Arabidopsis thaliana: one gene and its partner. Each later gene encodes a partner of the first gene's protein in a complex. Each region holds a gene or a part of one and is shown on either strand. Other genes may lie near its edges. The genes, in order: AT4G34600 and GSO1. A codon is read from its position in the direction of its gene.

Region 1 (3,757 bases):
TGTAGCTGGATAGTTAGATTCTCCACATTTATATAATTGTTTTTTTAAAAACTATTGGTTTGGAAGCCACCGATTTTCAAGGCCTAATTTAGAAACAACATTTTCTCCATGAACTCTTTTGATGCGTAGTCTTAATAGAAATCTTTCAGTATTATTGACAAGAAAAAATAAGATAAAAATAAATAAATAAAAAATAATGACTAACATAGATGTGAAAAGTCCTTATTAATATTCAAAACGCTCCAAAGGAATTGCACGACGAGACAAGAAAAGCAGGGGCGGCTAAGAGAGTCCTTTAGAAACCAATCTCATTCGAATAGTATTATGGTTTATTGAGAAAATTTATAATTTATGTACTAGGAAGTAAAAAGTCATAGCCGACGATACTCAAAACAGAATTTTCCTTCGAGTTCAAGTATTTTCTTGTTAATTAGTTCGGAATCGAAATTTCAATTCTAAGGTTTAAACTCTTTATTGTGAAAGTCACACACTCGTGTATTTAGACTCTAACATAGAGTCGAGAAACCATACATGTATAATGTATTAGTTGAATGGTTTCGTCTAAACTCTATGTTACAAGTAACAAGTCCATATAAATGAGTAGAACCCTACACCAAACTCTAATTCCTACTTCTTCGAAAGGATACCTAAAAGCCCGTGAAGTCTAGAAATCTTTGATTTTATCTACATGTATTAACTTTGTCAGCAACACACGTTCATACCGGATTTAAAGTTTTGGTGCAAGTTTCTATCGAGAGAGCTTTGCCCAACATCTTAATATAAGCCCAACCTTTTATAAATAAGCACAAAACAATTATAAAGCCTCACAAGTAAGTTAAAACATAGGCCCGAGGCAAATGTTAATGGTACAGTATGTTGTTGATTCTAATGTCTATTACGTGTACTAACTAACTACGAAGCCCATTCAAGAGTTTAACCGGCCCAACAGGTTTACTATGATTGTTTTGTATTAATATACAGCTTGACTCTCATTTTGTAATAGAAAAATATATAGCGGTGTTTAACAAGATAAATTATGCTATCTATAACATTCTAATCCAGAATTTGGTTCCATTTAAAAAATTAATTAGGCCGGTTTTCTTCTAAATGAGTTGTGGTTTCTTGTTAGGACGTGCACTCATACCAGCCTTAAAAAAATTAGTGACAAAACAAAACTGAAATTTTTAACAAAAATAAATAAATAAAACAAACAAAACTGAAATTAAGAATCGTGAGGGTACGGTCATCATCCACTACATCATCTTTACTCCTTTTTATGTGCAACCATAAAATAATACGTCGAACATTAATTATAGTGACGAATCAGTTCATTAAAGCAAAGTTCAAACAACTTTGTTCTCTTTCCATAATCTCAATTAATCAGTAATCCATTTAATTTATCATTGTGTGACGAATCAGTGCATCGAAGCAAAGTTTAAACAACTTTGTTCTCTTTTTTCCATAATCTCAATCAGCAATTCATTTAAGTTTAACACTTTTTAGCAAAAAATTATGAGAAAAATTTATGACTCTATCTTTCAGTAAGTATGTTATGATCGATTAATTTGAGTTAAACGAAGTAGTGTATCATATATAGTATATCACTATCAGATTTATAGAGGCCTAATCGTACATTATTCAGTTGGTTATAGCTAGCGATATCTCTTGATTGGAGAATAGGAATGGAACTTTGACCGATATTGAATACCTAGTCTTCAAGGATTCTACAATATAATTATGATGATTTGGTAAATTTAATTGGGTTATGATAATGAAGGCACTCATATTAAATAATCAGGTCACTAACCTCTTTAGACTTATTGTGGCCAACAATAGGAAAGTAGTCTCCTTTCAACTTTTTCTCCAATCCCACCATTTCCATGAACAATTTTTTTAATTAAAAGCATTAAGAGATATTTGCATTAATTAAATGATGGATAAATCAATTGTTGTTATGGTATTTTACTATTTTTATTTATTTGTAATTGATACAATCTAATTTTGAAACTCAAGCTAATCTCTATTTAAACCGGTTTTTATTGTTGCTTTTTATTTAAAGCATTCACGTTGGCTAAACAAATTAGTTAACTTTTAATCGTGTTATTTCTTTAGAGATTATATATAGTGATATACCAAACGCATTGGCTTCTCTTTTTTTTGATAAGGTACGTGTATCTAAATACACAAGATACAGCTTAAGGCACATCAAAAATTGAAAGGAGAAAGAAGATGGGTTTGTTGCCATTGGTGAAGAAACTAGGTTTCATCATCTTTCTTCTAGTTTCAGCTTCAGCGTTTGCTCTCTGTTCTGCAGGTTTGTTTCTTACTTTTTTTTCTCTCTCTCTATCTACATATTTATATTCCTTTGTTTGCAGCTTTTCTCTGCAACTTCATGTGCCTCCTACTGAGATCAGTCTTTTAGAAAGTAAGATAATAACATTAAGAGCTTGTGCTCTCCACATGTGTGTTAATGACGACTAAAGGAGAAAATTAACGACATAGTATGTTACGTTAGTGTTATTTGGATTGATTAATCTTGGATATAAAGAATAGACAAGCTTAAGTCTCTTTTTTTTTTCTTTTTTGTAGGCCGATCATCCATTTTAATCTATAGCCAAGAAGATGATCATCCCGAGGTATTCGTTTTAACTCCAAAAAAAGTTGCCAACTACCGTGCGTTGTATATCTTTACTTAGTAAAAAACCGAACAAATTGATAATCAAGATCGTAGTTATATGATTTCAAGAACAATTTTGTACGTTGGTGAATACATTCTATTTGTGGACAGGTAGTAGAAAGAAGAATACATGAGCATGAGAGAATTCTGAGAATGAATTCAAGAGACTATGGCCACTCCAGTCCTAAACCAAAGCTCGTGAGACCTCCTTTCAAGCTTATTCCCAACTGATCATGCATATCACCGATCGACTATATATAGATGCCAGACTTTCTGAGATGTATAATATATGTAAACCTAAATACTAACACTGCAATAAGTTTGAATGATAATCATATATATAAGTTTCAAGATATGTTTTCTAGTAAATTAATGATTAGATAGTGCTCTTTGCTATCATGCAGAATGTAAATTTGGTGAATAGTCATCATTAGATGAATATTACAATTTATCTGATAGAATCCTTATGATCAAAATTAATATTGAAATATTCGATTAATTCTGAAAACGGATACAGATTGTATATGTGCCAGACAAAAAAAAAGAGAAGAGAATTGGGAACGTTGCAGTTTCGTAGATGTGATAAGATAATAAGTCTACAGTGTAATGTCCATCTCTTGCAGATCTCAAATTGCATTTACCATATTCTGTTTGGTCCCAATGACCTAACCTCACTTATATTCTTGTACAAAAGAATGTTTACTTTATACAAATATTTCTAAAACTTTTTCTTCTGACCAACATTCTTCCACTACAGAATTGAGACTGATCATAAGTTCATCACACCTATGCTTTATTCCTCTCCATTGCTTACTTCTTCAAGCTACAAAATCATGTACCAATTGTGAAGAATTTATCCGGTTCTGGCGACTTCCGGGGTTTACATACTCCATTTCATCTCCCGGGATGGCATTCTCGTAAATATCCACCCCGGAAAAGTTGTTGTATGCCTCACTAGACATAGCCACAACATTGTCCTGTCCTTGAGAGTTTTGAAGCCCTAGAGTCAAGGACACATCACCACGACCCAATCTTGACGTATCAGCCACATGATATGTAGGCTCAACTGCCATGAACCGG
Region 2 (7,156 bases), 5.6 Mb from region 1:
AATTCTCCGCAATGAAACTTCGCTCAAGGTTTAATCATTTGGAAGTTTTTCAATTGAGCGAATCTCTATGCAGGCTTAGCTTGTTGCAAATCTGTTTAGTCAGGCACTCTTATAAAAGTTAAGACAGTTTGAGCAATACAATTATTCCTTTGAACATGATCTCAATGAGTCTGGAAAGATAGATACTTTCGACTAGTTCTTTGGTTCTAGAGTTAGATAGGTTGCAAGGTGCCAGTACATATAAACTAGATGCGAATTTGAAGGGAACCACATATGTAAACGTGTCTCGTTTTAGGTAGTAAGTTGCTAAGCTTTCGCAAACTCTTCTTTGATAAATCTTGTGACTTATGATAAGTTCAAGAATCTCTGTTTGTTTATCACCATTGGCTATTGCATATTTGCGAGGGACTGGCAGAATTTGGTGTATTACATTTCTTGTTTTGTTGGATTGAATAACTTGGAATATTCAAACTTTTCCTTCTGTTTTTGTAATGCAGATGAAGATCGGGATTAATTTTGCGTGATCTTTGAAGTCTTCAGAAAAGAAATATCTTCCCCTGAACTCATCTCAAGTGCTTGTTTTGTCTGATCTTTCCTGTATAAGCGTTTCTTCTCCTTCTCTTTGACTTCAGCTCTGGAGTTCTTTTCATTCACTGTTTTCGAATATGAACCTAAAGATTTGTGTTTTCACAATCTGAATCTGTTTGTATCTGGTTAATAATGGCGAAATGATAAACCTTGCAATCTACCTTCTGTTATGAGAATAGAGTTTCAGAATCAGAATCAGAATCATTCTGTTTAAAATTTGGTTTAAGTTGTATTACAAGTACATGCAAAAGACAATAAGTGTTTTTGTAGCAGATGGATCAAGTTCGAAACAATCTTTGTACTGAAAGAAACCATGTCATCTATACAAAGCAGAAACAGAATTTCAGAAGAAAAAATTTAAAGTTGGCAGTTTTCATGTCTCCAAAGACATTTGCAGGTGTCAGTTTTTTTACAGCTTCTTATAACCGGCCGTTCTGTTGTTGTAGACATGGAGAAGACTATCACAAGCTTGCCTAGAAGATGGTCTCTCTTGGGGAGAAGTTTTTGTGCACTGAAGTGCAATCTCAAGCACCTGACAAGCTGCGTCTTCCTCAAATGGCAGAAGTGGCTTAAGCTTTGGATCTATGAGTTTATCTCTCGCAGAACCCGCTACTTCAAGATGTGTTTCAACCCATCTCACCATGTCCATCTCTGCACCAAACACTGAGTCGGTTGGCATTTTCCCAGTCACAATCTCCATCAACACGATCCCCATACTGTAAACGTCGCTCTTCTCAGTCGCCTTCAACGAGTAAGCATACTCTAGACACACAATTTCAAATCTTTAGATATTAAAACAGTGAATATGCAAGAAAGCTAAGAAAGAGAAGATGAGTACCTGGAGCAATGTAGCCATAAGAGCATGCAAACCAGGTATTTGAATCTGTGTTGGTATCACAGTTCTCAGTTAAGACCTTGGCAAGACCGAAATCTCCTAAATGCGCTTCCATGTTTGAATCGAGGAGCACATTACTGGATTTGATATCACGGTGAACGATAGGAGGAACACAGTCATGATGAAGGTACTCTACTCCTTGAGCCAATCCTACTGCTATTCTCAATCTTGCTTCCCAGTCTAAAAGCTTCTTCTTTTTTTCGAGCACGGGTTTGTCCTCATGAAGCCAATCCCAGATGCTTCCGTTCTTCATGTACTCATATATCAACAGATTCAATCCTTCTGACTTGCTGCTGCAGTAACCCATTAGCTTAACCAGATGCCTATGCCTGATTCTTCCAAGCGTCTTAACTTCTCTGCTGAAGCTCTTGTTTGACATGAGATCATCCTTCCAGAGAATCTTTTTCACTGCAACAGTCTCACCATTTTCAAGCTCCGCCTTGTAAACCTTCCCAGAGCCTCCTGATCCAATCATGAACTCCTCGCTTAGATTATGTGTAGCTTCCATGATGTCCTCCCACCTGATATCGGACTTTGAAGCTCCGTTTCGAAAGAGAGGCTTGTGTGTAGCTTGTGAAGAAGAGCTTGACGATGTGTACGCAGTGCTTCCATGACCCACTTTCTTGAAGAAATCATGCCTTTGTTTGAAGAAGAGAGCGATTACAAGTATCATCAAGCCAATCGCCGTCAATGCTGAGATTGCTGATATTATCACAACTGATCTGGCACTAAGACCTTGTTGCTTGTTATTACTTCTAACTCTGTTGCAGCGACTTAGTGGGCTTCCACAAAGACCTGTGTTGCCTAAAAAGGAATCAGCTGGCCATCTTGAGAACTGTTTCTTGAGCTTCCCTCCGAGGTTATTGAAAGAAACATTGAGATATCCCAAACTCTTCATATCCCCAACCGAGCCAGGAACTTCCCCTGTAAGCTGATTGTGAGAAAGATCAAGTGTTTCCAGCTTTGATAATGTCCCAATTGTCGAAGGTATATCTCCAGTGAAGTTATTGTAGCTGAGGTCTAAAGCACTTTGAAGATCCTGAAGCTGTCCAATCTCAACTGGGATTTCTCCTGTTAAGCTGTTTCTTGATAACCGAAGCTCATACAGCTTGCTGAGCTTTCCCATAGCTTGAGGAAGTGAACCTGAAAACTGGTTCTTATCAAGGTTAAGGACATTGAGAGCTCCCAAGTTACCAATCTCTTGTGGAATCGACCCATTAAGCGAATTTCCATCAAGAGACAACACAAGCAGCTTTGTACAGTTGAACAGTTCAGTAGGTAAAGACTCAACAAACTGATTCGAAGAAAGCTTGAGCTCTCCTAACTGTGAAAGTTTTCCAAGCCATGGAGGTATAGGACCTGATAGAAAATTGTTATTGAGATCGATGTGTGTCAGTTTCTTGCACAAGACGAGCTGTAGCGGAATGGTTCCTGTGAGAGCGTTGCTTGACATATCTAACAAGGACAGCTCGCGGATTTTCCCCAACGTCCAAGGGATTTTTCCTGTCAATTGATTCTTGCCTAACCTGAGACGATCAAGATTTTGAGAGTTTCCTAGCTCCAGGGGGATTTCATCTTCAAACCCGTTGTTGGTGACATCGAATGAGAGATATGAGCTCGAACCACATAATGGATGAATCGTACCATTGAGCCTGTTGTGAGAGAGATTGATTCTGGTGAGGTTCCTCAGACTGATAAGTGAATCAGGAAGATTTCCTTGAAGAGAATTGTTGTAAAGCATCAACTGTTCCAAGCCCTTTAAGAACCCGAAGGATGAAGGAATTGATCCCGAGAGCTGATTATCCGCCAAATCCAAGATGTTCAGTTGATGACAGTTACCTAAACTGGCGGGAAGTCCACCCACAAGCTCGTTCTGTCTCAAGTGAAGCAAGTTAAGCTCTTTTAATCTTCCTATTGAAGGAGGTATCTCTCCTTCGAAATGATTCCCGAACATATCAATCATCTTCAAGCTTGTGCAGTTTCCAATCTCCTGTGGGATTTCCCCTGAGAAACGATTCTCATACAGAAACAGAACCTCTAATTTTCTGAGTGCGCTGATCTCCTTCGGTAACTTGCCTTCCAAGTTATTGTGATACAACACAAGCCACTGTAGATTAGTGAGGTTTGATATCGAAGGAGATAACGTACCCTCCAAGGTATTATTGTGGAGATAAAGATCTGTGAGTTCGACTAGCTCAAACAATGCTTCAGGGATCGAGCCAGCGAGAGAATTGTTCGACAAATCAAGCTGCTTAAGCGATTGACATTTGCTTAATTCCACAGGGATTTCACCAGAAAGCTGAGTTCCAGACAAAACCAGTTGCTCCAAGTTTGTGTTGTTAGAACAAATGCTCTTTGGTAATGAACCAGAGAGATGATTGTTTGCTAGAACCAAATCAAGAAGCTGACTCATGTTCCAGAATTCTTCAGGTATCTCTCCGGTAAGATTATTCGCCGATAAATCAAGAGTTTGAAGATTTCCCAGATCAGCCAAACTCTTGGGGATAAGACCTTGAAGTTGATTTGCCATCAAGCTAAGATACTGGAGTTGGCTCATTTCACCTAATTGACTCGGTATCTCTCCGGTGAGACTGTTGTTCGCCAGGTTGAGTATTTCGAGGTTTTCAAGGCGTCCAAGCTCCGCCGGTATCGTCCCGTTGAGCATGTTCTCCGCCGCAGTGAACACAGTGAGATCAGAGCAGTTTCCTAACTCAGCCGGAATCGGTCCTTCGAGATAGTTATCTTGCAATATCAACGACTGAACTCGGACGAGACGACCGAGCTGACTCGGTATAGGACCGGTGAGTCTACAAGAAGCCAGAGCAAGCATCTGGAGATTCACCAAGTTCCCTAACGTCTCCGGGATATCTCCAACAAGCTCATTGTCTCCGATCCTTAGCGACCGGATATTAACGAGGGAGCCGAGCTGGCTCGGAATCTCGCCGGTGAGTTGGTTAGAAAAGAGAAACAGAGACTCCAAGGAAGTAAGGTTGGAGAGAGCAGTTGGGATGGGACCAACTAGATTGTTGGAAGATAGATCAAGGTGGATTAGGTTGTCAAACCGGCCAAACCAAGGTGAAATTGAACCGGTTAATCCTAAACCGGTAAGGTTTAGAGCAATTACACGAAATAAACCGGTATTGTCGCATGTGACTCCGGTCCAAGAACAGTAGTTGATGTTATCAGAGTTCCATTGTCGGAGAGGATCGTCTTCTTGTGGATTCGTGACCAAAGATTTCTTCACCTCGAGAAGAGTCTGAAGATCGTTGTTGATGATACCCGGTTGACCTAAACCGGAAAAACAGAGGATGAAGAGGAGGAGAAGAACTAGTGGTTGCATGTTTTCTTCTTCGTCGTCTTATGGTTTGGTTTACTGAGGAAGAAGAATGGAGGTTTTATGGCATTTGTGTGATTCTTGTTGTAGAGAATGATGAAGAGGGAGAAAGATGATTGGTCATTAGAAACGGTGCATAGGGACTCTATCTCTGAGTTGGAGAAGAGTAAATGCAGAGAGAACAAAGTTTCTTTCTCTCTCTCTTTTTTGTGTTTCTTTTTTGCTATTTCACTGTTTTATTGAGAGATCTAGAGAGAGAGGAGAGAGGGGTCAAAGAGAGGTCAGAGGAGAGATGTGGGGAAATGGAATGGGAAGGCTCGTAGAATGAAAATGTTTCGGCTTTTAGCCTTTTATCAATCAATGGAGGGGCAAAGGTCAACGGTCGTACTATGATGTTCGTGTGTACATTTATTCGTCCGTGGAGACATGTTATATAATTAAAACAGTGCCTAAACTTTGACATAACATTTGGTCTTCTTAGGAAAGAAAAAAAAAAAAACATTTGGTCTTCTTTAGAAACCACAGAATATATAAATAAATAGTGGAGTAGTACACTTTACATTCACATCAAACTTGTAAAATTATAAGCTTATAATAAGTACATTCTATTTCGTTTGATCAATTAACAACTTATGACATTTAGATTCGTGGATGTTGTTCCACTATATTCTAATTAAATTCTGTATTGAAGTTCCGATCGATTCATATCTCTTGGACTCTAACGACTTGGAGTTAAGTTAGAAAAGATTTAGAGGATTCCACAAATGATAAATGATCCCAACAAGTTTTCTCATTTCATACTTCCATTATCTATTTATTATCTATCAAACACATGATTACTACTCTGAATGTATAGAGTGTCAACTCTACACGATTCCTTAATTTTTCTTTTTAGTGTCTTTGTGATACGCAATCATTTGATTTATCAATTTCGTGAGAAGTTAGAGTTCTTTGTTCTCCTATTTCTTTTCGACAAGTTTAGTTGTTTAATTTTATCAAAAAGAAAAGAAAAGTTTAGTTGTTTATTAGTAATAGACCTTTTATTAGTTATATAAAGGAAAAGTAACAATAATGAATAATAGAAAATAAAATGGTGATGCATGGCTTTGACCTTGGACAAGGAGAAAAGAGTGGTTGAGAAAATGACTTGGTTGAAGTATATATTTTTGGCTTTGGTTATGTCACAAAGTGTGTTAGCTTCTCATCACTTCAACCTTTTCACGACAAGGAGAGCAGTTGTGGTATGATCGTACATTAACATGGCATCATATGATTATGCCCTATATTTTATTACCAAGTCAAACATAATTCTTATTAAAATTTGCAAACATAATTTTTTCATCCATCTTTTTCTTTATTACCCAAATAAGTTCGGTGATACTTTCCCAATTTATATGTTCATCGAAGTAAAGAATCAACTCGTGAGTTTTGAATAATTTCGTGTGTTTTTTGCCTTCAAAAATTGAGGTTAATAATAGATATAATATGTTGTTGTCGATTCGGAATCTAGCTTGAATTTAATCACACCTATCTAATTATAGGAAAAAAGGAATAATACATCGAATAATATTGTCATTTTCATAAATTGTTATTATTATATAAATTTTGGTTGACTGTAATAACGCTAGATCGAATCAAGTTTACGTACAACAACTTGTTCGATAATTGATAATCTATAATTAAAAATGTTAATATTCTACTGAACGAGATTCTAAATCCAAAAGAATGAGACAAAGGAATTATCTTCGATCCACCAAAAAGATCAAGATGCTTATTTTTTTTTATTTTTTTTTGTCTATTGTTTGGTTGATTTATACTTTAATTAATCTTAAATTCAAAGGAATAATTTCATTATGCATGGCAAGAATTATGAAACGCATAGTGGTCTTACTTCAAAAATAAAATATTCAACATATTGAAGATAATTATTAAGAATCAAGTTAGTCAATGTAAAGTATCAAATAAGTAGCCAAAGGTAAGAAATAGATTGCTTATGGTTCTGTATAACTCAGAGTAGGTTTGTTTGGTTTGGACCGTAACTTTTTTTGAAAATAGTAATGTTAGACAAAGAGTAGAAGAAACGCAATATGATTTGATTGATTAGTGTAACCACAAGGTTAATAAATAGTATAAGTAATAATCAATTATTGAGACTAATCAACATTATAGTTCGGCGTAAGAGACACAATTACCCTAAAACATTTGAGACACTAATCATGCTTAGGGACTAAAAACATGAACATGAATTAATCAAAAGAGAAAAAAAAAACACAGATGATTCCAAAGCGTTTGTTGGCTAATCAAACTCATTAAAGCAGCCAAGAAAAGAAGAGGTTATG

The links.
Region 2: the proteins of AT4G34600 (region 1) and GSO1 are in contact, whole or in part, in a crystal structure (PDB 6S6Q), measured with the Arabidopsis thaliana proteins. Residues at the interface, in NP_195186.1 of Arabidopsis thaliana: Asp63 (codon at 2,843), Tyr64 (codon at 2,846), Gly65 (codon at 2,849), His66 (codon at 2,852), Ser67 (codon at 2,855), Ser68 (codon at 2,858), Pro69 (codon at 2,861), Lys70 (codon at 2,864), Pro71 (codon at 2,867), Leu73 (codon at 2,873), Val74 (codon at 2,876), Arg75 (codon at 2,879), Pro76 (codon at 2,882), Pro77 (codon at 2,885), Phe78 (codon at 2,888), Lys79 (codon at 2,891), Leu80 (codon at 2,894), Pro82 (codon at 2,900), Asn83 (codon at 2,903); in NP_193747.2 of Arabidopsis thaliana: Phe127 (codon at 4,445), Ser128 (codon at 4,442), Arg149 (codon at 4,379), Ile150 (codon at 4,376), Gly151 (codon at 4,373), Asp152 (codon at 4,370), Ala173 (codon at 4,307), Leu174 (codon at 4,304), Ala175 (codon at 4,301), Ser176 (codon at 4,298), Ile197 (codon at 4,235), Gln199 (codon at 4,229), Thr221 (codon at 4,163), Ile243 (codon at 4,097), Asn245 (codon at 4,091), Tyr267 (codon at 4,025), Asp293 (codon at 3,947), Leu314 (codon at 3,884), Asp315 (codon at 3,881), Val317 (codon at 3,875), Glu339 (codon at 3,809), Gln340 (codon at 3,806), Val342 (codon at 3,800), Gln364 (codon at 3,734), Asp388 (codon at 3,662), Tyr390 (codon at 3,656), His392 (codon at 3,650), Gln411 (codon at 3,593), Trp412 (codon at 3,590), Val414 (codon at 3,584).

Annotation. Positions count from the first base shown.
Region 1 is NC_003075.7:16,527,051-16,530,807, forward strand, and holds AT4G34600 (uncharacterized protein), read left to right. Parts: upstream 1-2,007; 5' UTR 2,008-2,229; coding exon 2,230-2,314; intron 2,315-2,589; coding exon 2,590-2,636; coding exon of another isoform or gene 2,637-2,696; exon of another isoform or gene 2,697-2,788; coding exon 2,789-2,908; 3' UTR 2,909-3,178; downstream 3,179-3,757. Other genes in the region: BLH6 (BEL1-like homeodomain 6), read right to left, coding at 3,496-3,757. UniProt on the Arabidopsis thaliana protein: Peptide hormone required for contiguous Casparian strip diffusion barrier formation in roots via the regulation of CASPs protein expression and distribution in a GSO1-GSO2 signaling pathway.
Region 2 is NC_003075.7:10,881,887-10,889,042, reverse strand, and holds GSO1 (Leucine-rich repeat transmembrane protein kinase), read right to left. Parts: upstream 5,123-7,156; 5' UTR 4,824-5,122; coding exon 1,427-4,823; intron 1,351-1,426; coding exon 998-1,350; 3' UTR 773-997; downstream 1-772. Other genes in the region: AT4G20150 (excitatory amino acid transporter), read left to right, coding at 498-514. UniProt on the Arabidopsis thaliana protein: Together with GSO2, receptor-like serine/threonine-kinase required during the development of the epidermal surface in embryos and cotyledons. In coordination with GSO2, regulates root growth through control of cell division and cell fate specification.